Linked DNA regions of Macaca mulatta. The protein of the gene in region 1 interacts with the protein of each later gene in a biochemical or structural test. Links are inferred from orthologs where the notes say so. Each region holds a gene or a part of one and is shown in the gene's direction. Other genes may lie near its edges. The genes, in order: UBA1, UBE2W, UBE2B, CDC34, UBE2J2, UBE2T and UBE2K.

Evidence for each region.
Region 2: of the proteins of UBA1 (region 1) and UBE2W, one has a biochemical effect on the other in vitro, tested with the Homo sapiens proteins (5 studies listed by BioGRID, with this or other methods). The link is inferred for Macaca mulatta from reciprocal best matches to the Homo sapiens genes UBA1 and UBE2W.
Region 3: of the proteins of UBA1 (region 1) and UBE2B, one has a biochemical effect on the other in vitro, tested with the Homo sapiens proteins (10 studies listed by BioGRID, with this or other methods). The link is inferred for Macaca mulatta from reciprocal best matches to the Homo sapiens genes UBA1 and UBE2B.
Region 4: of the proteins of UBA1 (region 1) and CDC34, one has a biochemical effect on the other in vitro, tested with the Homo sapiens proteins (7 studies listed by BioGRID, with this or other methods). The link is inferred for Macaca mulatta from reciprocal best matches to the Homo sapiens genes UBA1 and CDC34.
Region 5: of the proteins of UBA1 (region 1) and UBE2J2, one has a biochemical effect on the other in vitro, tested with the Homo sapiens proteins (2 studies listed by BioGRID). The link is inferred for Macaca mulatta from reciprocal best matches to the Homo sapiens genes UBA1 and UBE2J2.
Region 6: of the proteins of UBA1 (region 1) and UBE2T, one has a biochemical effect on the other in vitro, tested with the Homo sapiens proteins (4 studies listed by BioGRID, with this or other methods). The link is inferred for Macaca mulatta from reciprocal best matches to the Homo sapiens genes UBA1 and UBE2T.
Region 7: of the proteins of UBA1 (region 1) and UBE2K, one has a biochemical effect on the other in vitro, tested with the Homo sapiens proteins (9 studies listed by BioGRID, with this or other methods). The link is inferred for Macaca mulatta from reciprocal best matches to the Homo sapiens genes UBA1 and UBE2K.

Annotation. Positions count from the first base shown.
Region 1 is NC_133426.1:47,232,065-47,235,564, forward strand, and holds part of UBA1 (ubiquitin-like modifier-activating enzyme 1), read left to right. Parts: intron 1-465; coding exon 466-572; coding exon of another isoform or gene 573-660; intron 661-827; coding exon of another isoform or gene 828-848; coding exon 849-939; intron 940-1,050; coding exon 1,051-1,183; intron 1,184-1,727; coding exon 1,728-1,825; intron 1,826-1,932; coding exon 1,933-2,079; intron 2,080-2,210; coding exon 2,211-2,387; intron 2,388-2,511; coding exon 2,512-2,616; intron 2,617-2,704; coding exon 2,705-2,785; intron 2,786-3,111; coding exon 3,112-3,267; intron 3,268-3,500. UniProt on the Homo sapiens protein: Catalyzes the first step in ubiquitin conjugation to mark cellular proteins for degradation through the ubiquitin-proteasome system.
Region 2 is NC_133413.1:84,408,204-84,411,703, reverse strand, and holds part of UBE2W (ubiquitin-conjugating enzyme E2 W), read left to right. Parts: intron 1-2,040; coding exon 2,041-2,143; intron 2,144-3,500. UniProt on the Homo sapiens protein: Accepts ubiquitin from the E1 complex and catalyzes its covalent attachment to other proteins.
Region 3 is NC_133411.1:143,308,527-143,311,076, forward strand, and holds part of UBE2B (ubiquitin-conjugating enzyme E2 B), read left to right. Parts: intron 1-25; coding exon 26-114; intron 115-2,300; coding exon 2,301-2,429; 3' UTR 2,430-2,550. UniProt on the Homo sapiens protein: E2 ubiquitin-conjugating enzyme that accepts ubiquitin from the ubiquitin-activating enzyme E1 and transfers it to a E3 ubiquitin-protein ligase. In vitro catalyzes 'Lys-11'-, as well as 'Lys-48'- and 'Lys-63'-linked polyubiquitination.
Region 4 is NC_133424.1:1,173,841-1,177,340, forward strand, and holds part of CDC34 (ubiquitin-conjugating enzyme E2 R1), read left to right. Parts: intron 1-686; coding exon 687-773; intron 774-879; coding exon 880-977; intron 978-3,026; coding exon 3,027-3,161; intron 3,162-3,500. UniProt on the Homo sapiens protein: E2 ubiquitin-conjugating enzyme that accepts ubiquitin from an E1 ubiquitin-activating protein, and catalyzes its covalent attachment to other proteins by an E3 ubiquitin-protein ligase complex. In vitro catalyzes 'Lys-48'-linked polyubiquitination.
Region 5 is NC_133406.1:239,412,423-239,416,487, forward strand, and holds the start of UBE2J2 (ubiquitin-conjugating enzyme E2 J2), read left to right. Parts: upstream 1-1,265; 5' UTR 1,266-1,445; intron 1,446-2,115; exon of another isoform or gene 2,116-2,259; intron 2,260-4,065. UniProt on the Homo sapiens protein: Catalyzes the covalent attachment of ubiquitin to other proteins. Seems to function in the selective degradation of misfolded membrane proteins from the endoplasmic reticulum (ERAD).
Region 6 is NC_133406.1:60,008,557-60,012,844, reverse strand, and holds the start of UBE2T (ubiquitin-conjugating enzyme E2 T), read left to right. Parts: upstream 1-1,488; 5' UTR 1,489-1,632; intron 1,633-4,288. Other genes in the region: PPP1R12B (protein phosphatase 1 regulatory subunit 12B), read right to left, coding at 859-1,149. UniProt on the Homo sapiens protein: Accepts ubiquitin from the E1 complex and catalyzes its covalent attachment to other proteins. Catalyzes monoubiquitination. Involved in mitomycin-C (MMC)-induced DNA repair.
Region 7 is NC_133410.1:38,909,935-38,914,134, forward strand, and holds the start of UBE2K (ubiquitin-conjugating enzyme E2 K), read left to right. Parts: upstream 1-1,400; 5' UTR 1,401-1,449; coding exon 1,450-1,512; intron 1,513-4,200. UniProt on the Homo sapiens protein: Accepts ubiquitin from the E1 complex and catalyzes its covalent attachment to other proteins. In vitro, in the presence or in the absence of BRCA1-BARD1 E3 ubiquitin-protein ligase complex, catalyzes the synthesis of 'Lys-48'-linked polyubiquitin chains.

The DNA of each region.
Region 1 (3,500 bases):
AATCCGGATGGAGGAATAGGAGCTCACCCTGGTGGGGAAGGATGGACATTCAGGCAGAGAGCAAAATCCCAAAGATCATGCGGAGCAGGCATTGTCTTGGGAATTGGAAGCAGGTGGGTGTGGTAGGAGTGAGCTCAGACTTTGGCTGGAGACAGAGTTTTACTCCAGTGTCTCACAGGGCATGGCAAGCAGACAGCAGCGGGTGTTTGTCAAATAAATGAGTCAGCTCTTCTCCAAACTCCGTCCTCCCAGCTACCTCTTCACCTTTCCTGGTATAGTCTAGGAGTTCATTTTTGACCCCCACAGAGTCTGATGCACAGTAGGTGCTGTGTGTTTGTGAAAGAGGCTGACCCAGCAAAGCCTGGATGTGTCTGCCTTGAGGACTGCCTGAGTCCTTGACATCAGCCCTCCACCATTTTCTCCTCTTCACCCCAATGCTGGGCCTGAGCCTCCATCTCTCCACAGGTGGTGGTGCTCACCAACACCCCCCTGGAGGACCAGCTGCGAGTGGGTGAGTTCTGTCACAGCCGTGGCATCAAGCTGGTGGTGGCAGACACAAGGGGCCTGTTTGGGTGAGTGGCGGCCCACCCCGCTCCCTGTCCCCTTTTCCTCCAACTCCTACCAGGCCCAGGCCAAGACCTCTAGGCTCTCCCTGCCCTCGTCCCTCCTCAGCTACCCAGATTTTGGGTTCTTTGTGTTCATCTCTCCTCATGTGGCACAAGTACCATCTTACATCCCAGCAGTGATAGGCTGAGTTTGCTCAGCAAGTTTTCACTACATCTTGAGGGACCTGTGGGGCCTGTTTGTGCATGGGACACGGGCATCAGCCCTATTGCTTCCCTCTACAGGCAGCTCTTCTGTGACTTTGGAAAGGAAATGATCCTCACAGATTCCAATGGGGAGCAGCCGCTCAGTGCTATGGTTTCTATGGTTACCAAGGTAAGGAGACCAGCCCTAGGGTTCCTGGCGGGCAGGTGGGCTGTGGTAGTCCTTCCTGTCCGCTCTTGGTACCCTGGGCCTGTTTCTGAGACTCACTCTTCCTTTAACCAGGACAACCCTGGTGTGGTTACCTGCCTGGATGAGGCCCGACACGGGTTTGAAAGTGGGGACTTTGTCTCCTTTTCAGAAGTACAGGGCATGGTTGAACTCAACGGAAATCAGCCCATGGAGATCAAAGTCCTGGGTGAGTTGGGACCATGGGGGAAGCAGAGGGAAGCTAGGAGATATGTTCCTGGGTTCTGGCTAGGGAGTTGAAGGGAGGAGACATGGCCCTTGGTTCAGATTGGGGAGACACATCCTGTTGTTTAAGATGAACTACAGACAGAATCCCGTGGGGTCCAATAAGAGCTGGTGGGCATGAGGGAGAGGTGCTGTGTTCGAGCTATTCCTGGGAGAATGTGTCCCTGGTATCTGAGCTGAGGGGGAAAAGGTCTCTGGTGTTTGAACAGGGCAGGTCAGAGGATCTACTGTGTGTGAGCTGATTTGGATGGGAAGCACATAAGGTCTTCCCATGTAGACTTGGAGCCAGGGACATAGGGTCTCACAGGGTCTGAGCTGGGTCTGGGGCACAGGAGAGATGTTTTCTGATGTCCATGTGGAGCCTGGAGCAGAGGGGAGATGGCGTCTGATGTCTGAGCTGAGTTGGGGCAGGAGGTTCCTTATCTTGCAGGGGTTGTGGATTTTAGGGAGAATGGGTAGACTGATAGCTCTCTTCCTGCCCTCTATAGGTCCTTATACCTTTAGCATCTGTGACACCTCCAACTTCTCCGACTATATCCGTGGAGGCATCGTCAGTCAGGTCAAAGTACCTAAGAAGATTAGCTTTGTGAGTGTGTCAGTGGGAACAGTGGCTATGTGGGGTAGTTCTAGGCATTCCCGAGTTCTCCATTCCTCTCTTCTGGTTCTGATGACCTCCCCCTTCCCCCGCCACAGAAATCCTTGGTGGCCTCACTGGCAGAACCTGACTTTGTGATGACGGACTTCGCCAAGTTTTCTCACCCTGCCCAGCTGCACATTGGCTTCCAGGCCCTGCACCACTTCTGTGCTCAGCATGGCCGGCCACCTCGGCCCCGCAATGAGGTGGGTGGGTAGGCGAGCCAGCCAATGCACACATGCCTGGCACTGAAGGCCCACCATGCTTCTGCTTATCCACACTCCCTGCCCTCATTGTGGCCTGACAGATCCTCTTTTGGTTCTTTCTGGCCTACCAGGAGGATGCAACAGAACTGGTGGCCTTAGCACAGGCTGTGAATGCTCGAGCCCTGCCAGCAGTGCAGCAAGAGAACCTGGACGAGGACCTCATCCGGAAGTTGGCATATGTGGCTGCTGGGGATCTGGCACCCATAAACGCCTTCATTGGGGGCCTGGCTGCCCAGGAAGTCATGAAGGTCAGCATGGGTTGGGAGAGGCAGGATTGGGGTGGGCCAGGTGCCTCCCTGACTCCATCACTTGCTCTCTGTGTCAGGCCCCTGTTAACCACTGACCACCCCCTCTCTCCCTTCCCCTCTCCAGGCCTGCTCCGGGAAGTTCATGCCCATCATGCAGTGGCTATACTTTGATGCCCTTGAGTGTCTCCCTGAGGACAAAGAGGCCCTCACGGAGGACAAGTGCCTCCCAGTATGTGGGTGGGACCTGTGGGGAGGGCATCATTGGGGGCATTTCTGGGGAGGCCTCTCTCTGACCCTCCTCCCTTTGCATTCCTTAGCGCCAGAACCGTTACGATGGGCAAGTGGCTGTGTTTGGCTCAGACCTGCAAGAGAAGCTGGGCAAGCAGAAGTATTTCCTGGTGAGTGGTCCCCTTGGATGCCTGCTCCCCTCATCTTGGCCTCTGACCATCTGCCCTGGGGCTTCCTTCAGCATTTCAACGCAACCTGTGGGGCATTCCCTTTGCCATTCTCCTTATCTTGAAGGGAAGCCCAGTGCATCCCTCGTTTCCCGCTCTGGTTCCTCCTTCCTCACACGACTGCATGTCATTTCTTAGAGTCCTGGAACCTGAAGATGTGGTGTTAGCCCCTCTCCCCATCTCTCAGGGGAGTGAGGGGTGATGGGTAGCCTCACACTAACCTGCATCACCCTGACCAGCCTCTGCCTGTCTTCTTGGTTGCCTCTTAGGTGGGTGCGGGGGCCATTGGCTGTGAGCTGCTCAAGAACTTTGCCATGATTGGGCTGGGCTGCAGGGAGGGTGGAGAAATCATCGTTACAGACATGGACACCATTGAGAAGTCAAATCTGAATCGACAGTTTCTTTTCCGGCCCTGGGATGTCACGGTGAGTAGGGTAGGAGGTGGGGCTTTGTCATCTCACTTTCCTCCTTTTTCTTTTTTTTTTTTTTTTTCTTGAGACAGAGTTTTGCTCTTGTTGCCCAGGCTGGAGTGCAGTGGCATGATCTCTGGCCCACCGCAACCTCTGCCTCCTGGGTTCAAGCGATTCTCCTGCCTCAGCCTCCTGAGTAGCTGGGATTACAGGCATGCGCCGCCATGCCCGGCTAATTTTGGTTTTTA
Region 2 (3,500 bases), on another chromosome or scaffold:
GTGGAGGTTGCGGTGAGCCGAGATTGCGCGATTGCACTCCAGCCTGGGCAACAAGAGCAAAACTCTGTACCAAGAAAAAAAAAAGAAAGTACCATGCACAATGTTGACAGTTATATTGTCTTTGACCTCATGTAGTATCTGCATGTCATGCAGATATTACGAGGATTGATGAGATACTTGGTTAGCTCTTTATTTTTAAAAGTTGTGCTTGTTTGCATAGGTCACATGTAAATTTATGTTGTGTGTCCTCAAATTGCCATATAAACAGAACGAAAGACCACCATTTTTCCTGGGAATATTACTCTGCCTAGTAGATGTGGGTGGAAAATCAAGAAAGGAATTTCAAAGATTAAGAAGGACCTAATATATAAAGAGATAGTTTTTTGTTTTATATGCAGCTTTTGCATTGCATTTAATTTACCATGTATTGACTCTGAGTCAGGAATGTGCTAGGTTTTTTACTTATGTAGGGTCGTTTATCTCCAACAACACTATAAGGTGATTATCTTCTGTTTTATTATTGAGGTAGTTAAAACTGGAGAGAGAACATAACTTGCTCACACAACGAGTTAAGATTAACTGTAACTGCCACTTCAGTATAATTTCAGTTATAACTGTTTAATTTCACTATAAAATGTTGTCTCTTGGGTCTGTGGTCGTATCTTTTATTACCATGTATGGTACTCAGCATGCATTCTTAAAATGAATAGCCATGCTCTTAAGAGTCTGTATACTGTAGCTGATTTCTTTTAGAGAATAGGTACATTTATTAGTTTACATAATCCTAAGTTCATCGTATGCGTGGTAATGACTAGAATCCCAACACTGTGTTTCCTTTCTTTCTTTTGTTTTCTTGTATTTTAAGTACAAGAAAGTTTAATACCTGAAAAGTTCAAGAGAATTGCCTAGGTGTACAATAATTATAAGTGACAGAGCTATAATTAGGAACACATTGTTAATGACTTCAATTCACTTTTGCTTCTAATGCTGCCCTGTTATCTTTGCTGTCATTATCCCTTATTCTTTCCCCCATCTTAAAGAAAATAACAAGAAATAGTGTATACACTATAAATAACACATTTATGTTTATGATTGTTACATATTAAAACAAAGTAGGCTTGCATAGATGCCATAGAAATGGGCTTTATTAAACAATTGAAACATAGTGAGAGATAAAGAAAAGGCAGTACAAAGCCTTGCTTAATCGTCAAAGTAAGTGGAATGATGTCAATTTAGCTCCCCTTACCCTGTTAATCTTTTCTAGAATGTTGATGAGAAAAATAAATCTGACAGCTACGGTTCTCTGTAGTCATTGTCTATACGGGTTTCTCCATGGCTTCCACCAGTAATAATCAGAAAGACAGTTGATTAGTTTGATGTTATGTATAGAATACTTAATATCAGCATTGTAGAAATGGTACTTTGAAAAAATAAGGTAATGTAAATCAATTAGGAAGAGTACAGGCTTGGGTGTCAGCACACCTTAGTTTGAGATTTGTTTGTTTATTTTGAGACAGTCTTGCTCTGTAGCCCAGGCTGGAGTGCAGTGGCATGATCTTGACTCACTGCAACCTCTGCCTCCCGGGTTCAAGTGATTCTCCTGCCTCAGTCTCCTGAGTAGCTGGGATTACAGGTGCACGCCACCACGCCCAGCTAATTTTTGTATTTTTAGTAGAGACCAGTTTCACCATGTTGGTCAGGCTGGTCTCAAACCTCTGACCTCGTGATCCACCTGCCTCAGCCTCCCAAAGTTCTGGGATTACAGGCGTGAGCCACCGCGCCTGGCCTTGGGTTTTTGTTTTGTTGGCTTTTTTAGACCTATCTTTTGCTAGCTGTCTGACCTTGATCTGGTGGTTTCACCCCTGAATGTCAGAGAAGGTCATGAGAATTAACAGTGAGAGAGTTATTGGGAGGCTGGCATGTGCTGTTACACATAAACAACTCTTGTCCCAGTGCTTAGTGTACAGGAAGTACTTGGTGTCCTCTTTTCTCCTCCTTACCCCAGTATCTTAAGTTTTTAATTTGCCTTTTCTATTCTAGGTGGATTGTAGACATGGAAGGTGCACCAGGTACCTTATATGAAGGGGAAAAATTTCAACTTCTATTTAAATTTAGTAGTCGATATCCTTTTGACTCTCCTCAGGTAATTGCCTTGCTTTAAATTTTTTTTTTTTGTATTTTTAGATAGCTAAATGCCAGAGATGTTTGACTCAGTAAAAACATATAAATCATTTATACGTATGTAGATGGATTTGTTATTTCCTTGTTCGTAATATAATCAAGATATGAACATTACACTTAATATTGGGATTAGGGCTTTACTGCATTTTGCATCTAAAATTGTTTGTTTCTTATCCATAAATACTAGCAGAAAAGGGAATAGAAATCTAACCAGGCCTCTAGGCCAGGGGTCCCCAACCCCTATGCTGTGGACTGGTACTGGTCCCTGGCCTGTTAGGAGTCAGGCCACACAGGAGGTGAGCACCATTACTGCCTGAGCTCCGCCTCCTGTCAGATCAGTAGTGACATCAGATTCGCATAGGAGTACAAGCCTTATTGTGAACTGCACATGCGAGGGATCTAGATAGTACGCTCCTTATGAGAATCTAATGCCTGATGATCTGAGATGGAACACTTTCATCCCAAAACCATCATCCAACCCCCAGCCCCATCCGTGGAAAAATTGTCTTCCACCAAACCGGTCCCTTGTGCCAAAAAGATTGGGGACCACTGCTCTAGGCCATTCGAGAAGTTGGCATTTTGGAATAACTGGAGGCGCCTCTCCTAGGTCAGATGATAGAATCACATGGTGAAGAGAAAAGTTCTCTGTTGGAAGGAGTACTTTGATTTTGCATTGACGTGCTGTCTTTGCAGCCTTTTAGTACTGGAATGGCAGAGTACATCACCAGATGTTAAATATCTAAACATTGGCCCAAAGTCTGTTTATTATAATTTGATGCCCAGTCAGTTTAGTTAATAACTTAATACTTAGACAAGGGATAATGGTGGTAGAGGAATGTTTTTTGAGAGCTGTTTAACTATGGTAAATGATTAATCAGAGATTAGAGAAAGGAAGACTGTAGGATGACTTCCAGGTTTCTGGCTTGGTAATATAAGTAAATGAGTTACTATAATTACTTATTCTTCAGAGAATTATTGTAACAAAGCACTTCATTTTTAAAATTTGAGGCTTGTAATATCCGTTGGCTAAAGTGATAAGACGTAATGCCAACTCTTTCTAGTATTGCTAGCAAATGAGCTATTCTGTAAAATAGAACCATATACCTGAAATATTTCCCAGATACTGAAAATTTAGCTTGTAGGTGCTGAAGTGTACTATTTGGGGGAAAATCTTATTTCATTGCCACTTTAAACAATATACCAAACACAGCTTAATCTTTTGTTAGTTATGTAAGAGAAGAGATAGAAGTCAGTTACTGTATCATGCTATAAGTAAAGAGGTAATTGTTTTAAAGCATAGATTTAAATGGATACTGACT
Region 3 (2,550 bases), on another chromosome or scaffold:
ACCAATTTTAGTGTTGTCTTTGCAGTGTATGCTGATGGTAGCATATGTTTAGATATCCTTCAGAATCGATGGAGTCCAACATACGATGTATCTTCTATCTTAACATCAATTCAGGTAAGTATGTGTTAAGATGTATTATAGTTTGTCAGTATTCTGTAGGATACAGTCAGCTCCTTTAGGAGCACTGTAACCTGCTTAGCACACAGGTAACCAATGGCAGAGCTTGGGCAAGAATCCATGCTTTTCAGCTAACTTCTCTTTCAGTAATGCCTACATGGGATCCAGTCTGCAGTCCCTTTCCTGATTGTGTAAGTTACATGTTCTTACAGGTCAAACCTAATTTGTGTCCATGAAGCATAGCCAACGGTTGTGGAAAAGAAAAAAATGGCTTGGAAAAACCATAGGAACCTAAAGAAACTGCCAAGCGCAGATAAGCATTGAATGTGTTACCCCATCCAAGAAATTCTGTTTTAAAAAAAAGGAAAATTGGCCGGGCGCGGTGGCTCAAGCCTGTAATCCCAGCACGTTGGGAGGCCGAGACGGGCGGATCACGAGGTCAGGAGATCGAGACCATCCTGGCTGACACGGTGAAACCCCATCTCTACTAAAAAATACAAAAAACTAGCCGGGCGAGGTGGCGGGCGCCTGTAGTCCCAGCTACTCAGGAGGCTGAGGCAGGAGAATGGCGTGAACCCGGGAGGCAGAGCTTGCAGTGAGCCAAGATCTGGCCACTGCACTCCAGCCTGGGCGGCAGAGCGAGACTCCGTCTCAAAAAAATAAATAAATAAATAAATAAATAAATAAATAAATAAATAAATAAATAAAATAAAATAAAGGAAAATTAATGTAACCATTTGCCGAAGCAGTCTGGCAGAATATTTCAGAATAGATCTTTGAATGAAAATTTAGGAGGGGTGGAGTGAGGGGTGTTTTGGTTTTGTGGATTTGAGAGGAGCAGAAATAATATGTTGGTTTGTGATGTTCTTTTTAAAGTTTTTTCTGTCACACTTCTTTAATTCTGGCCTTTTTTTTTTTTTTTTTTTTTTTTTGAGACAGAGTCTTGCTGTGTTGCCCAGGCTGGAGTGCAATGGCTCAATCTTGGCTCACTGCAACCTCTGCCTCCCAGGTTCAAGTGATTCTCCTGCCTCAGCCTCCTGAGTAGCTGGGACTACAGGCATATGCCACCACGCCCAACTAAGTTTTTTGTATTTTTAGTAGAGATGGCGTTTCACAGTGTTAGCCAGGATGGTCTCTATCCAACCTCATGATCCGCCCACGTCGGCCTCCCAAAGTGTTGGGATTACAGGCATGAGCTACTGTGCCAGGCCAATTCTGGTCATCTTACAAGCATTGTTTTTCAACCTTCCTATCTCATTCTCTTCCTGCTAAATATATATGTTTTGTTGATTAAAGGAGATAAGACTTATCCCCCAACTTTTACTGTCAGACATTTGCAAAGTAACTGCAGTAGTAGAGTTTAACCTTGGAAAATGTTGGATACTGACAGATTTATTGATACTATAGCTTAACCAAATTAAGCTGTTCATTTCCTTGGTTTAATGAGAAAATCTCAATATGCTTAAGAATATTCTTTTCTGATTTCTTTGAAATTATAGGTGTTTTTTTCTTTTTTTCTTTTTTTGAGACGGAATTTCACCCTTGTTGCCCAGGCTGGAGTGCAATGGCGCAGTCTCGGCTCACCGCTATCTCTGTCTCCCAGGTTCAAGCAATTCTCCTGCCTCAGCCTCCTGAGTAGCTGGGATTACAGGCATACACCACCACACCTGGCTAATTTTGTATTTTTAGAAATTATGGGGTTTTCTTCATGTTGGCCAGGCTGGTCTCGAACTCCCTACCTCAGGTGATCTGCCCGCCTCGGCCTCCTATAGTGCTGGGATTACAGGCATGAGCCACCACACCTGACCTCTTTTTCGTTTTAAATAGAAACAGAGTTTCCCTATGTTGCCCAGGCTGATCTTGAACTGCTGGGCTCAAGGGATCCTCCTGCCTCGGCCTCCCAAAGTGTTAGGATAACAGGCGCAAGCCACTGTACCCAGCCGAAACTGTAGGTCTTAAGGCAATTGAGAACATTATTTCAGAAGCTTAAGTTCCTTAGCAGCAGGAAACCTCATAGTATTTATCAAATCATTTCTAAAATATTTAGACCCAAAATTATATGACATGTTAATCTCTGAAGTAATTTGTTGTTTTGTATAACTTCTCTGTAATATATTCCATATCTGACCCGTTAGTATAAAGAATAACTAAGCAAATCTGTTTTTTCTTTTCTTTCCTCCTAGTCTCTGCTGGATGAACCGAATCCTAACAGTCCAGCCAATAGCCAGGCAGCACAGCTTTATCAGGAAAACAAACGAGAATATGAGAAAAGAGTTTCGGCCATTGTTGAACAAAGCTGGAATGATTCATAATAGACAACTGGTCTGTTAATCTTTTTCATCATTGTTGTGTATAATTTACCTCTCAGTAGAAAGGCTAACAAATTTTAAGTGCCACAGGTTTTAAGGATTCTGCAGAAAAAAAAGAAAAAAG
Region 4 (3,500 bases), on another chromosome or scaffold:
CCGGGGCCCGGCAGGTGTCAGTGTTTGCTGAGTGAGCAGTCGTCTGTGCAAACCCTCCCCACACCGTGCCTGCCAAGGCCCTGGAGGGGCAGCCTGGTCTTGGGCCTCAGCTCCATCCGAGGGGAACCTGGAGCCCCTGCCAGTCCGTTCCGTCGGCTGGTGGGTGCCCCTGGCCCGGGTCCCGTGTGCCTGACCTGGGCTGCCACAGGCCTGGAGCCACTCGGGCAGCCAGTGCCTGCGTCCTCCAGCGGCTGGGCTGGGCCAGGCCGCGGCCACCTGGGCTGCGTAGGAGCTGGGATCAGCTCAGGTGACTCGGAAAAGGCTTGAGGCAGCCTGCTGGGGACTTGGCCCCAGGCCCATGAGAGTCCCTGCCTTGGCTGGGATAGGGTGTCCCTCACACACCCTCAGGCACACGCCCGAGCCTTACCCCCAGCACACCAGCACCGGGAGTGGAATGGCCTCGGGTCCCTCACACACACCCTCAGGCACACGCCCGAGCCTTACCCCCAGCACACCAGCACCGGGAGTGGAATGGCCTCGGGTCCCTCACACACACCCTCAGGCACATGCCCGAGCCTTACCCCCAGCACACCAGCACCGGGAGTGGAATGGCCTCGGGCACCCTGTGAGCCGGGGCAGGGCCTGGGGCTGAGCCGGGCTGAGCCACACGCCTTCTGCCCCTGCAGGCGCGCCTCAAGTTCCCCATCGACTACCCGTACTCTCCACCGGCCTTTCGGTTCCTCACCAAGATGTGGCACCCTAACATCTACGAGGTGAGCGCGGCCCCCACGGGCCTCACGTACTCATTGTCCGGGACCCGTGGCTCTGGGAGCCAGTGCTGACCTCTGACCTGTCCTGACCTGTCCTCTCCTTGTGCAGACGGGGGACGTGTGCATCTCCATCCTCCATCCCCCGGTGGACGACCCCCAGAGCGGGGAGCTGCCCTCAGAGAGGTGGAACCCCACCCAGAACGTCAGGTAGGCCCCACCCCCGTGTCCACCCAGAACGTCAGGTAGGCCGGCCCCATGTCCACCCAAAACGTCAGGTAGGCCCCACCCCTGTGTCCACCCAGAACGTCAGGTAGGCCGGCCCCACACTCCATGTCCACCCAGAACGTCAGGTAGGCCCCACCCCCGTGTCCACCCAGAACGTCAGGTAGGCCGGCCCCACACTCCGTGTCCACCCAGAATGTCAGGTAGGCCGGCCCCACGCCCCATGTCCACCCAGAACGTCAGGTAGGCCGGCCCCACGCTCCGTGTCCACCCAGAACGTCAGGTAGGCCGGCCCCACGCCCCATGTCCACCCAGAACGTCAGGTAGGCCGGCCCCACGCTCCGTGTCCACCCAGAACGTCAGGTAGGCCCCACACTCCGTGTCCACTCAGAACGTCAGGTAGGCCCCACCCCCGTGTCCACCCAGAACGTCAGGTAGGCCGGCCCCACCCCCGTGTCCACCCAGAACGTCAGGTAGGCCGGCCCCACGCCCCGTGTCCACCCAGAACGTCAGGTAGGCCGGCCCCACGCCCCGTGTCCACCCAGAACGTCAGGTAGGCCGGCCCCACGCTCCGCGTCCACCCAGAACGTCAGGTAGGCCCCACCCCCGTGTCCACCCAGAACGTCAGGTAGGCCGGCCCCACGCTCCGTGTCCACCCAGAACGTCAGGTAGGCCCCACGCTCCGTGTCCACCCAGAACGTCAGGTAGGCCGGCCCCATGCTCCGTGTCCACCCAGAACGTCAGGTAGGCCGGCCCCACCCCCGTGTCCACCCAGAACGTCAGGTAGGCCGGCCCCATGTCCACCCAAAACGTCAGGTAGGCCCCACGCCCCATGTCCACCCAGAACGTCAGGTAGGCCGGCCCCACGCCCCATGTCCACCCAGAACGTCAGGTAGGCCCCACCCCCGTGTCCACCCAGAACGTCAGGTAGGCCGGCCCCACGCCCCATGTCCACCCAGAACGTCAGCTAGGCCGGCCCCACGCCCCATGTCCACCCAGAACGTCAGGTAGGCCGGCCCCACGCCCCGTGTCCACCCAGAACGTCAGCTAGGCCGGCCCCACGCCCCGTGTCCACCCAGAACGTCAGCTAGGCCGGCCCCACGCCCCGTGTCCACCCAGAACGTCAGGTAGGCCGGCCCCACGCCCCGTGTCCACCCAGAACGTCAGCTAGGCCGGCCCCACGCCCCGTGTCCACCCAGAACGTCAGGTAGGCCGGCCCCACGCCCCGTGTCCACCCAGAACGTCAGGTAGGCCGGCCCCACGCCCCGTGTCCACCCAGAACGTCAGGTAGGCCGGCCCCACGCCCCGTGTCCACCCAGAACGTCAGGTAGGCCGGCCCCACGCCCCGTGTCCACCCAGAACGTCAGGTAGGCCGGCCCCACGCCCCGTGTCCACCCAGAACATGAGGTAGGCCGGCCCCACGCTCCGTGTCCACCCAGAACATGAGGTAGGCTGGGCTCCCCCGCGGGCCATGGCGCCGAGGCCTAGTTTGGGACCTGCCAGCCGGCGATCCTGGGCCTCCCTGTACCCGCACGGTGGCTGCTTTCATGGGACCTGCCGCACTGTGGTGTCTGTGCGGACTCCCACAAGACTCCAGGCCAGCCCCACTCTCTGGAGTGACTGAGACGTGTCCCGCCCACCTCGGTGCTGGGTCTTCTCCTTCCCCAGCTGTCTCTGGGTTGGTCACCACGTGCGACCTGTGCCACCCGGGCGTCGTCCCAGGTACAGGCCCTGGCCCGTGTTGCCCGTGTGTTCTGGAATGCAGCCCAGGCAGGACGTGTGGGCGTGAGAGCAGCCCCGGGTCCGACAGGGGTCTGCACCTTTCTGCCCTCCCTGGTCTTGGCGTGGGAGGGAGGAGGCTGATGCAGGTCCAGCCCCTGCTGTTCTGGGGGCCTGAGACACAAACAGGCCATGAGGCCAGATGAAAATCACCTGTTGGGTGGGTCCAGGTTTCCCCGTGACCCTCAAGGCCGGAGAAGAGCCGGAAGGCTGGGGTGCCCCGGGCCAGCCCGCTCCAACCCACTCTCCCCGCAGGACCATCCTCCTGAGTGTGATCTCCCTCCTCAACGAGCCCAATACCTTCTCGCCCGCCAATGTGGATGCCTCCGTGATGTACAGAAAGTGGAAAGAGAGCAAGGGGAAGGACCGGGAGTACACGGACATCATCCGGTGAGCGCGGGGGAGGTGCACGGGGCGGGGGAGACTCGGATCCGGCCTGCACCCCGGCCCTGATCCCTCGGCCGCCCAGCCCCACCGTCCTGGTGAGGGTGGCGGAGCTTCCTGGTGCCCGTTTACAGGGTACCAGTCACAGATGGAGGCCGGGCCTAGTGGCGGAGGGTCCAGCCAGGTTCAAGCCCAGCCTCTTGCCCCTTTTCCTCTTTTTTTTTTTTTTTTGAGACAGAGTTTTACTCGGTTGCCCAGGCTGGAGTGCAGTGGCGCAGTCTCGGCTCACTGCAGCCTCCACTTCCCGGGTTCAAGCAATTCTCCTGCTTCGTTCTCCGGAGTAGC
Region 5 (4,065 bases), on another chromosome or scaffold:
CTCATCACACACTACTGAAGGACAAACAAGGCAGGGCGGGCCTCCATCTGCCACGGGCCACAGCCGTGAGCGTGCAAGCGAGTGGACGTGCTGGTGCCTGTATCTGCGGCCGGTGTGGCTTCCCTTACATAACTTTCCATGCTGTAAAACCAGCTCGGCCCGCCCTGCCTGGGAACGGCAGAGGCCTGAGAGGAGGCAGAGGAAGGAGGCTGGATGCTGAGCTGTTTTCCAAAGGTGGTGCCTGTGACGTCAGGAATGGAGGCAGGCTGGATTCCCACGGGCTGAGGCTGTGTGGACATTCCTCCTGGCTTCTGCCCCAGGAGCTGCAGCAGCGTCTCAGACCCCCACCAAGGTGTCTCGGAGGGGCAGAGTCAGGCTGAGCATGGACACAGACTGCCCTCTGCCCGTAGCCACAGCGGGACCCACCCTCAGTGTTCAGCCACCTTGCTGACCTGTGGTTGTCTCTGAGAGGCCATCAGGGTTGGGGCAAAGGACAGGGCCACAGGCAGCCAGGTGGCGAGGTCCACCTCCCAATCCCCCACCAGGGGACCACCCTCAGCTCCCCGCTGTCCTTAGCTGCCTCTCGGGGAGGCGGTGGGTTGTGTGCCTGCCCTTAGCGTCCCACCCCAGCGCCCGGCCACCTACAGCTCCCTCCCAATGTGTCTGGGGTCAGAGAGAGGTGGAAAGGACGCAGCGCCCCGCGCTTTCTAAAGTCTGTCCAGAGGGAGGTCGGGGCGTCCCGGCACTGGGCCAGGCACCTGCAGGGGGAGGGTGCTGGGGCGGGGGCGTCCCGGGGCTGGGAAGGCTCCCGCAGGAGAGGGTGCTGGGGCGCGGACGTGGGTTGCAAAGCGATCCCACGCGTGTCACTCTCGGGTCCCTGAACGAGCCAGGCCTCCAGGCGCCCGGGACGCTCCACGCCGGGGCCGCGCCGCGCCGCGCCTCCCCTAAGGGCCGGGCAGGGTGTGGGAGCGGAGGACAAGGCGGGAGGGTCGGGGTCCTTTCTCCACCGGGGTCGCCCTCAGCCGGGCCTGCCGCCCTGGGCCGTGGCACGTGGGGACGTAAGCGCGCGGCTTCGGGGTCCGGGGCTTTCGCGCCCACTAACGGTGCCCGCAGCCGCCCGCCAGTGCGCACGCGCCGACCGCCCCGCCCTCCCCCGACCGGCGCCGGCGGCGACAGAGAGTCGTGGGCGCGGTCCTCCAGGCTGCCTAGAGCGGCGCCCCGCCCCCCAGGGAACGCGCACCGGAAGCAGAAACTAGGCTGGTTCCGCCCCGCGAGCGGCCATCTTGGAGGTTGAGGCGGCGGCGGCCCTGCGACGGGTTCGGTGGGCCCAGTCCCGGCGCGGTGTGGCTGTTTCGGGCGCGGGCCCCGCTTTTCCGCACCCTGCTCCGGCCTCGACCACGGCGAGCCTGAGCGCGGCGGCGGCCCACGCGCAGCGACAGGGAGAGGTGAGCGCGCTCGCTGGCCTGCGCCGGGTCCTCGGGCCCGCTCGACCGCCCCGCCGGAGCCGGCCACAGCGGCGGCCCGGGGCTGCGGGGGACCCTGCGCGACGCTTCTCCGTTCGCGCCCGCCGCCCGCGGGGCCCTGGCCCGAGCCTGCGCGGAACCCGAGGTCGGTTACGGCGGGCTCCCGGAGCTCCGGGTCAGGGTCAGGTCGGGGACTTGACCACTAGGCCGGGTCTCCCGTCCGTTGGGACACTTGCGGCTGCCCCAGGACGGGCAGCCTCGATCCTGGTTTGTCAATGGATCCCGGGAGTCTGTGTCGGGGGAGGGCTGCCGTTGAGCCCGCCGCCGCCTCGCCCTGAACTGTTAGACCCCACACTGCCCCGAGAGGCACGAGAGAAACGAGCGTGCCCGGGACGGTGCTCGGGGCCAGCGTTTCTGGGAAGCCCGGGCGGTGACAGTGGGAGACCGGAGTCTGGCTCCACCGCCGGCCGGCGGGAGTAAGACACGAGCCCGGAACAAGTCCCTGAGCTGCGCCGGGCCTCGCCGTCCACACCTGCCAATTCCCTGCACCCTCTCAGCCCCTGGCTAGGTGTCACCTCCTGGCCTCCTTTTCAATGCTTGCCACTTAGTGCGTGTGTATTTAACTCAAGTCCGGTTGCCACCCTCTTGCCAGACCCAGATAGGAAGCGGCTGAAAGGTCGGGCCTCAGCCCGGTGGGAGGGCAGCGAGGAGCGTACAGCAGGCTTGGCTGGGGCAGGTCGGTGGCCCCGCGTCCTGCCCCAGGGGAAACAGACGGTGTAATCTGGCTTCCGAAGAAGTGAGTATCTCGCTTAATCCAAAAGTCCAGCACCTGAGCCTAGGGCGTGGTTGGGTCTGGGTGCCCGGAACTCACAGTCCGTCATCTGCTCGGCCTGGCACCGCTGACCTCCTTAGCAGCTCCGCTCTAGGCAGGTACATGTGTGAGTGACAGGCAGGTGAGCCAGGCAGGTGCATGTGTGCGTTACAGGTGAGTGTCCCACCTCCATCGGCCCGGGCTTCCATCCAGCCTTCGGAGCAGTCTGGTGGAGAAGGCAGAGACTTCCGTGGCAGTCCTGGACCTGGGCGTGCCACGCGCCTGGCAGATGGGTCAGGCCAAGGTTTCCTGCCACATCCCTAAGCAGGAAAGAGCTGTCCAGACAAAGAGGGATGGGTGAGAGCTGCTGGGCAGCCACTGTCTCAGCGCCTGGGCACAGCTGCCCTCGGTGATTCACGCTGCTTTTATGCAGTTTCCGTGTAAACGTTTTTTTTCTGTACCTTTTTGTTTTAAAATCGCCAACTCTTTCTCTCAGCAGGATGATGTGCTTGGTGTCCCTTGTCTGTGGGGATGTTTGAAGGGAACCTGAGGCACATATGCTTCAAACTCTGTTCTCACAGTTTGCTTCCTTTGTGGATTTTTTTTTTTTTTTTTTTGGAGACAGGGTCTCTGTTTCCCTGGCTAGAGTGCAGTGGCATGATCTCAGTTCACTGCAGTGTCCGGCTCCGGAGTTCAAGTAATTCTCCCACCTCAGCCTCCAGAGTAGCTGGGATTACAGGTGCCCACCACCACACCCGGCTAATTTTTTTTTTTTTTTTTGAGATGGAGTTTCGCTCTTGTTGCCCGGGCTGGAGTGCAATGGCGTGATCTCAGCTCACCACAACCTCCACCTCCTGGATTCAAGCGATACTCCTGTCTCAGCCACCCGAGTAGCTGGGATTATAGGCATTTGCCAGCACACCTGACTAATTTTGTATTTTTAGTAGAGACAGGGTTTTACCATGTTGGTCAGGCTGGTCTCGAACTCCCGACCTCAGGTGATCCGCCCACCTCGGCCTCCCAAAGTGCTGGGATTACAGGTGTGAGCTACCATGCCCAGCCCCTTTGTGGATTTTTATTTTCCTTGTCCTTCCTGCTGTCATATTGGGAGGAGATGAATTGGGGGAAGTCGCCCCCTGGCGCCTTGGGGGACGTGAGAACGCTGTTCTGTGTGAAGCTCAGGAAGGGTGTCTGGGGAAACAGCAGTTGAATCGTGAACATGATTTTAAAAGCCTCTCCAAGCAAGTATGGGAGGGAAGCTTGCTTGTGACTGACTTGATGGAATCTATTTTATTTTTGCGTGGCTGTCCATGACCTTTCATTAAACCCGCAGCCTGGCCACTTAGCTAAGCCCAGACACACCTGTACCTGAATTGTCCAGTGAATTATTTTGTATATGGCAGAGTGTTAGCTTCAGGGTGAGCGTTTGAAAGGACGGCCTGTGTAGAGTGCTGCTTGGGGTCATCGCTGTGTCCATCACCAGGTGTTGGCCTGAGGGGAGATCCCTGGCCCATTGGCTTCTTGAGCCAGGAGCTGGGGATGCCACTGTGTGGAGCACTTCCTTCCCGGGCAGGACTAGAACCCCGTTCCTGGTGAGGGCCCTCCTGGGGAGGCACTCCTTAGGCAGAGGAGCCCGCCCTTGCCTCTGCTGGGGCCCGAAAGGGCCCTGCGTGGTGTGTGGGGTCACATGGAGGCCAGTGATGTGTGACAGAGTGGGAGGCATTTGGCAGGGAAATCAGGGAGGCCTCTGAAGGCGGTGGCCCGGAAGGGCCTAGGGGAGTTTCCAGTAGA
Region 6 (4,288 bases), on another chromosome or scaffold:
GATTTGAGGCGAGAGGGTGTAGTTAGTCATGGCAGTCAGTAGATAGAGAATATTGCTGCATTAGGTGATGAACTATAAGGTGTCGTTACCAAGCACAGATTATCCACAATCCATATAGTATAGCTACGTATAGGGCATGGGATTTCTATAGAGCGCTTTAGAAAAAAAAAAAAATAGAAAAATAGAAAAGGTATTCCATAAGTATCAAACAGACAGAAGTAATTCAGTAACTTAGTTCTCCACAGGAAGCTCTCGGGGAGGTAGCATTGCTGAGAAGAAAGTTAAGATACCTATAACAACGAGGTCCGGGGTGTTCTAGGAGCTATAGCCTAGAGGCGACACAAACTGTTTTTAAGTACTACAAATCAACAAAACAAGAGGTGTGGTTTCAGACCTGCTTGTCTTTACCCAGTATAGGGCTCTACTCTTTAAGTGATCTAAGATATTCTATAATGGAGACACACAACAACTGAATTTTCTGAAAGGGCATCAGACAAATGACACTGTGACACGGCATGCAGGCACGCCAACCAGACATAAGTGAAGATAACTAATCTATAGGGATACGACCAGGGACAAAAATCACCAGTAACCATGACAACACAAGTAGGTGGAGGGAAACACAAACACTGACCAAGCAGCGGGGTGACACTATTCCTTCAGGTAGAGAGATCCTGGGGTCAGAAAAAGACTTGATTAGTGGAGGAAGCTGGCCAAGAATGAAACCGATTAGCCCAAAAAGGCAGTGTCCATGCAGAAGGACTCGGCGGCAACACTGATACTCCCCATGGGGCGGCTCGCAGGGTCAAAGACACATCTGTAGGAGACTGGACGCCTCTAAGACCGTGAAGGAGTTACCTGGTGCAGGGCTGTCAAGCCGTCCACGTTGACTGTGTTGATATCAGCACCTCTTGCCAGAAGCTTTCTCACCTCGTCGGTGTCCCCGCTAGAGCAGGCGGCCAGGAAGACAGCACCGTCCTCGAAGCGGACCCTGGGGCTCCCGCGCCTGGTCAGCGGCTGCCGCCCCGCGCCTCGTCGCTCCGCGGGCTCCTGCTCTGTCAGCGAGCCCCGCCAGCGCCGAAGCTGCTCTGCCCGCCGCATTCGCGCCGACTCTGCCCGCTTCCCTCCTAGGTGCTCCAGCTCCGCCATTGCTCCGGCCTCGGCAGCTGCTGCCAAAACTACCAACACTAAATTACTGTTGGGGCTCGGGTTGCCGCTGCCGCCTCCCTCAGAGCGCTTCAGCCGGGAGCAGAGGGCGGAGACCCTCGCGCCGCCATCTTTACTCCTCTCGCCACTAGCACCGCCCGCACGTTCCCTCGGCTTCAATACGCAGCCGCTGCCCGGCCTCGGATCATCACGGGACTCGTAGTAAGAGGCCTGCCCTAAGTGCACTTGGTGGCCGTAAGGGAACTACAAATCCCTGGATGCATCAGAAAAAAGTCGAGGACAGACGGCTCTTTCGCCACGGGACCCAGTGAGGTCACCTTTGCCCTAAAGCTGGAACTGTCTCCTGGACTGGCGTCAACCTCTTCCTCTGGGCATTTTGGGAGTCGTAGTTTATTCTTGTTATGACTGGTAACTAATCTTAGCTCCCTAATTATCACATCAATTCTTTGGAGTGGAAGAGACGCGGTAATTATTCCTATTTTCTGGAGGGGAGAACTAAACATTAAGTACCTAAACGACTGGATTCTATATCCTAGTTCTAAGTCTAGGGTTTTATTAACATGTGTATTAATCACAGTAAATGTGAATGTGCGTGGGGAGGAGGAGCAGTATTACATGTTTTACATAAATACTGTCAACTTACTCCAGGCCCAGAAAAGATCTTGAAAATGATGCATTCAGATGTAGTGAGAAGAGTTTAAGCTGTGAATTTAAATTGAATTCACAGCCGTAGACAAATTACTTGACTTCTCTGAGCCAGTTTTCTTATGTGAAAAATGGGAATAATATCTCACAGGGTAGTCGTGTGGATCAGATAAAATAATACATGCAAGGATGCCTAATACTATCTTTGGCACATATTGCATCCCAATAAATAATTTCTCTTCCTTCTCCCTCCTCCTCCTCCTCTACTCTTTTCATATATCTTAAATTTTTACAAGACAGAATAGATGTCTTCCGTGATTTTTATTTCTTTTCTTTTGACACAGAGTCTCACTCTGTCACCCAGGCTGAGTGCAGTGGCACGATCACGGCTCACTGCAGACTCAACCTCCTGGGCTCAAGTGATTCTCCCACCTCAGCCTCCCAAGTAGCTAGGACTACAGGTGCCCACCACCACACCCGCTATTTTTTTAATTTTTTTATAGAGACAAGGTCTCACCATGTTGCCCAGGCTTGTCTGGAACTCCTAGACACAAGCGATCTCCTGCCTCAGCTTCCCAAAGTGTTGGGATTACAGCCCTGAGCCACTGTACCTGGCCCATGATTTTTTTTTTCAAAGCTAGAGAAAGATACTATCAAGCATACTAAATCATACTAAATTCCTAAGGTAGCAAATAGGACATTCTTATGTTCCCCAAGACTAGGTTAAAAAACGTATATCTGTCTGATTGTTTTGTTTTGTTTTGTTTGAGACAGGGTCTCACTCTGTCACCTATGGCATGGTCATGGATCAGTGTAGCCTCAACCTCCCAGGCTCAAGCAATCCTCCCACCTCAGCTCCGCAAGTAGCTGGGACTACAGGCCTGCGTCACTATGCCTGGCTAACTTTTGTATTTTTTGTAGAGACAGGGTTTTGCCATGTTGCCCAGGCTAGTCTTGAGCTCCTGGGCTCAAGTGATCCACCCACCTCAGTCTCCCAAAGTGTTAGTATTACAGGCATGAGCCACCACATCCGGCCAGTCCGATTGATTTAATAATTATAACCTCCAGTGCTCTAGCCCTGAACAAAATATAATTAAATGTGTTACCCATAATGAAGGAGTACATATGCAAATATTAGATTCTTTAAACATTTCTGTATGTTTAAAATTTTTCATTTAAAAATGTTGCAAAATGATCAGGGTATTGTAAAGGGAAACTTTATTATATTCTGTCATGTGAAAATTTGCCTGTTCCTAAATTCCCCCTGAAATGAAGTGGAAATCATACATTAAGGAAACAATTAGTTATTGAATTGAAAACCTTAAATGAAAAGTGACATATAAATGTAAAAATTATTATGTTTAATAATACTGTGTCTACCCACCATATGCTTTAGTAGGGTATTCTTAAATACATTATAAATACTAATTAAACCTTATGTCAAATCTGTGAACTATGAATAACAATGTACATAAGGAAAATCAAGGTATAATAATGTATACATTATGTAACCTCATTTTCCTTGCTACATACATTTATTTATGGCCATGATAGAACTTGTCATGTCTCATCATTTATTGCAATTAAAAATTTTTGGCCAGACGTGATGGCTCACGCTTGTAATCCCAGCACTTTGGAAGGCCAAGGCGGGCAGATCACTTAAGGTCAGGAGTTCGAGACCAGCTTGGCTAACCCCATCTCTACTAAAAATACAAAAAGTAGCTGGGTATAGTGGCAGGTGCCTGTAATCCCAACTACTCAGGAGGCTGAGGCAGGAAAATCGCTTGAACCTGGGAGACGGAGGTTGCAGTGAGCCAAGATTACACCACTGTACTCCAGCCTGGGTGACAGAGCAAGACTGTCTCAAAAAAAAAAAAAAAAAAAAAAATTATTCATGAGATTTACTTTGTAACATATCACAGTGGGACCTCCTCTTATTCCAATTCAGCCTCTTGCTGATAATTTGTATTGCCCTTAAGCACCCAAATAGAACTCTCAGTAAAGGATAAAAGAAAAATTGGTATTAAATCAAATAGGTAGGAATACTCAGCTAGAAGCCTAATCCTATTCACAGTCCTCATGCATCATTTCAGTATCATGTTCCTGGTATATGATAGCTGCTCCTATATATATATAACTTTATGTTTTACTGGCATACTGGTCTTCTAATAAGGATTTTTGAACTGGAGTACATTTTTCAGGGATCAATAATGATGATTCTTTTGGCTGCATTCTTTTTGTATTCAGAATTAGGAGGCAAAAAATATCTAGTTCCAGTTGTTTAAATAAGCTAAAATTGACCCACTCCAGGTTAAATCCTTACTTTCCCAAGAGATAGGAACTAAAATTTCTTTCTTTTTTGGAGACAATTGGTACCAACATAACTCACTGCAGGCTCGAACTCCTGAGCTCAAGCAATTCTCCTCCTACCTCCTGAGTATCTGGGACTATAGGCACATAAAATAAAATTATGTTA
Region 7 (4,200 bases), on another chromosome or scaffold:
TCTACTTAAAATATTTTATACTTTTTGTTTTGTATTGTTTGAGACATAAACTTGCTCTGTGGCCCAGGCTGTATGTAGTGCAGTAGCGCGATCTCGCTCACTGCAACCTGCGCCCCCCAGGTTCAAGCGATTTTCCTGCCTCAGCCTCCAGAATAGCCGGGATTACAGGCGCCTGCCACCACACCTGTCTGATTTTTGTATTTTTAGTAGAGACGGGGTTTCACTATGTTGGCCAGGCTGGTCTCGGACTCCTGACTGCAAGTGATCCGCCGCGCCAGCAAAAGCGTTTTACTCTTATCTGTACTCATTTACACATTCAATATTTATAGAGTGCCTACTATCACCAAGCACCTTTGTAGGCCTAGGTTTACAGAAATAAGGCTCCCCCTCCCCCATCCCAGTCCCCTGAAGGGCACTATAATTTCTATTTCTCCAGTTTTCAATTTAATATATATGAATTTTCACACGCTTCAGTTCAGTGGTTCTCATAGTGTGGTCCCCGAACCAGCACCAACAGCAGCAGCAACTGGGAGACTTGTTAGAAACGCAGTCTTAGGCCCGCTCCACACTCTAGGGATGGGCACAGGAGTGTGTGTGTGTGTGGTGTGTGTGTGTGACAGAGAGTGTGTGTGTGTCAAGCTCGGTATTAAATAGGTCAAAGATCAACATCTGACTTGTAAACCCACCCTCAGGCCTCTCCACCGAGTACCTGTCTCAAACCCAATCTGATCCAACAATAACCAGCCTTAATTCGATAATCTGTGCTACCTGAGATGATGGGAATAATCGTGGTACTATAAATGTTGCAGAACAAAAACGACTGCAGTGGATTTTCTGGGGCTACACCAACTGAAAATGGGCCGGACCGAGATCCGCGAGAGCGTTTTCCTGCGCTAGACACGGCGTTCAGCCTCCGGGTTCCGGGTCTAGCTGAGTCAGGGCGGCGTTCCAGCCGAGTGCGGCTTCGGGAACCCGTTCGGCTGCGCGCGAACCTTCGGTCAGAGGCCAGCGCTGGAAGCCCCGACCACAGCACCTGGGTTTAAACAGGAGCGGAGGCGCCGGGTAGGACCGGGCGGGCAGGCTACGGCCGGCCACCTTGGAAGCCGCGCCCTAGCGGCCCCAGACGCCGGCAGGGCGGAGCCACGCGGCCGCAGCCCCAGCCGAGACGCGAGCTCGTGGCTCGGGCGTATGGGGGCTACAACGGGAGCGGCTGCGCCGCCCGGCCGGGTCAGCGTCGTGCGCATGCGCCGACCCGGCGCCATTTTGGTGGCCGGGCGCGGAGGTGATTCCACACTGAGGCGAGCGCGGCGGCCGGGGTGGTAGTGGCAGTGTTCGTGTGCTCGGGTCTGAATCGCCGGGGGAGGAGGCGGTGGAGGAAGAGGTGGCGGCGGTGGCGGTGGTCGTAGCGGTGGCGGAGGAGGCGGGTACGAATCAGCTGCGGGCGGAGACATGGCCAACATCGCGGTGCAGCGAATCAAGCGGGAGTTCAAGGAGGTGCTGAAGAGCGAGGAGGTCAGAAATGAACTCCCGGATATCCCCCATCTCTGCCTGGAGCGGGAGGGTCCTCCCAGCTGCGACCCCGATATCCTCGGTAGTCCCTGGGTGGCCCTCCTTGCGGCCGCCCTTCTGCCTGTGAGGAAGCAGCAGTGTTCCCCTCCTCCTTCCGCCGCCTTCCCCTCCCCTCCCAGAGCGCTAGGATGAACGGTCTCGCGGGCGGGTGGTCTGGGGTGGAACACGGTTTGGGGAGCTGATGGACAGGGGGGAGCTCCTCGGAGGGATGGAAGCTCACGAGAGAACCCGAGGCGGTGGCCACAGCTGGAAATGTGGCTGTGGGGTGGGGAGGGAGCAGGCCGAGCCTGAGAAAACCCGGGAAGTGGGTTGGGGGAAGGGGAAAGGTGGTAACTGGATACGAAGAGCAGTGCTGCTCAAAGGCCCACACTTTTGAGGGTATTTGGGGTTATTGCTTGTCAGGCCTTCACTGTTCTTTTCGTAGGGGAGGAGCGGTGAGTCCAAAGGTATTGATTAGAAAGGAAGGACATTCAGAGTTAGTCCTTCTTAGTTGGGTGTTAGGAGTCAAAGGGAGACATAATAGAATACTGTCTTATTTGGTGGCGGGGGTAAGGGAATTTTCACCTGAGTTAGCAAGTTATTCCAAACGAGATAATTATGTCTTCCACTTAACCCCCAAATTCGTAGGCCTCATTTTTATTGACATCACAATCTTTTTTGAGTGGGCAAAGGCGAGGTGTTTGGTGTATTAAAGACATGTAAATATTTTTAGTTAGGAAAAAAATAATGGGTTGTATGAGTAGTTTATTTCAAAATATTGTTTACAAGTTACCGATCAGACTGTCCTAAGACAGTGCCTCTGTGACTCGTGTTGTGCCACGAAACTTCATTATGATGTCCCTCATAGGTAACTTGATTCTTACTTTTGAAAAGTAGACCTATTAAAAATGTGAGATTTCACCAGATTAATACATTATTTCATCTCCTTATTGAGTAGATTTATCACGACTTAACAGATTTTCAAAAAAATTGCCTGCCATTGCTCTTAAGTTCTGCAGAATTTATATACATTAGTACTACGTTTATGTAAGATATTCACAATGCTCTAGTAATTTGACTCAAAATTATGCAAGTATTAGTACAGTGTGTCGTACCAAGATGAACAAGAATGCCAGATTGTCTTCCCCACATGAATTAAACAAAAAGTAATACAGAAAATGATTATTTTCAAGATTCACATACCATTATTGAATATATCATTGCTATTTTTGTTTTTCTTTTACGGTTAGTACTTTGATAGTGTCAATAATGATTTGTGAAATTCAGCATTCTAAATATGTGATGAGTATACATGGAGAAAAATTATTTAAAATTCAAAAATGACAACAGACTTATTGAAAGTAGTAGTATGTAAGTCATGATCGGTTTTACAGAGCATGTGTATGAACTCTGACCTCTGTGTTCATATGCCAAAACTCTGAATGGAAGGATGACTTTGTATTTTGTGGTACAGCGCAGAAATAGAGTCAATAAGTGTCTGTACTGATACAGTGAAACAGCAATTTTAACTTATTTAATATGAAAATGTATTCCAGGTTAGCTGACATACATACTCCTAATGAAAGATAGCAGCTAATATTGTTGCCAACAACCTAAAACATTTCTTGTTTAATAAGGTTGTACAAGCCTGAAACTTAATAGACTTTTAGTGCTTTATTTTCTGTTACAAGTGGTAAGTTACTGCTTTGGTAATTAATATGGTCTCTTTGCTTTTTATGAGCTCACTTTTCACTGTGAGATTCGTAGTACTTAAGTTGAAGATTACCAGAAATACTTGTATTGCTCTCTAGTAATGCATATTGTTAAAACAAACAAACAAACAAACAAAAAAACACTGCTCTTTATACATAAGGGATGAGGAAGCCTTACTTCAGATAAGCATCAAAAGTGTTTCAGAAGAAGAAAACAGGAAATGCAGACAGGTTTTTTGTTTGTTTTGTGTTGTTTAGAACAGTACCTGTATAAATATGGAAGGAAACTTCTTTTGGGAAAATCAGTTGCAAAGAACATTTAGGAAAGAGTCACATCATTTAATCTTGCAATAAATATAACCAATAAATAGCTTATTTTCGCCAGTATTTTTTGATATTTTAGTAGCCCCAGTTCTATAAGTGGATTATTTTCAACTCATTGAAGACTTGTAGTATAGTCCGTGTGTTTCCTTTTTAAGGGTGTAAATCCAGTCTTTTGAATGGCTGATCAAATAAATATTTCATCATGTCACTTTTTTGGTAAATCTGCACTTTACCAAAATTTATTTCATGTGCTTGTATGCTTGCGTTTACTAAGAACACTGGTTGATTTAAGGACTTTTTGGGGTGGCCTTGTAAGTGCCTTTGTAAAGATAGCTGACGCTTACTGGATTCTGGTTATGAGAGATTATAAGTGACCATTCTTAGAGTGTGTTAATTAAAATACAGCCAACAAGATAAATGTGAAAAGCAAGATGCAGAATAGTGTGGAAGAAGCCACCATTTGTGTTAAAAAGAGGGGAATATGTGTATTTGTCTTTATAGGCAAAAGGTTTCACAAGAAATTGGTAAAATTGATTGCTTTCTGTGTAGAAAAATTGGGTCTCTGGGGCATGGGGTATAGATATTTTTTTAATTTTGTGTCATACGAATGTGATTT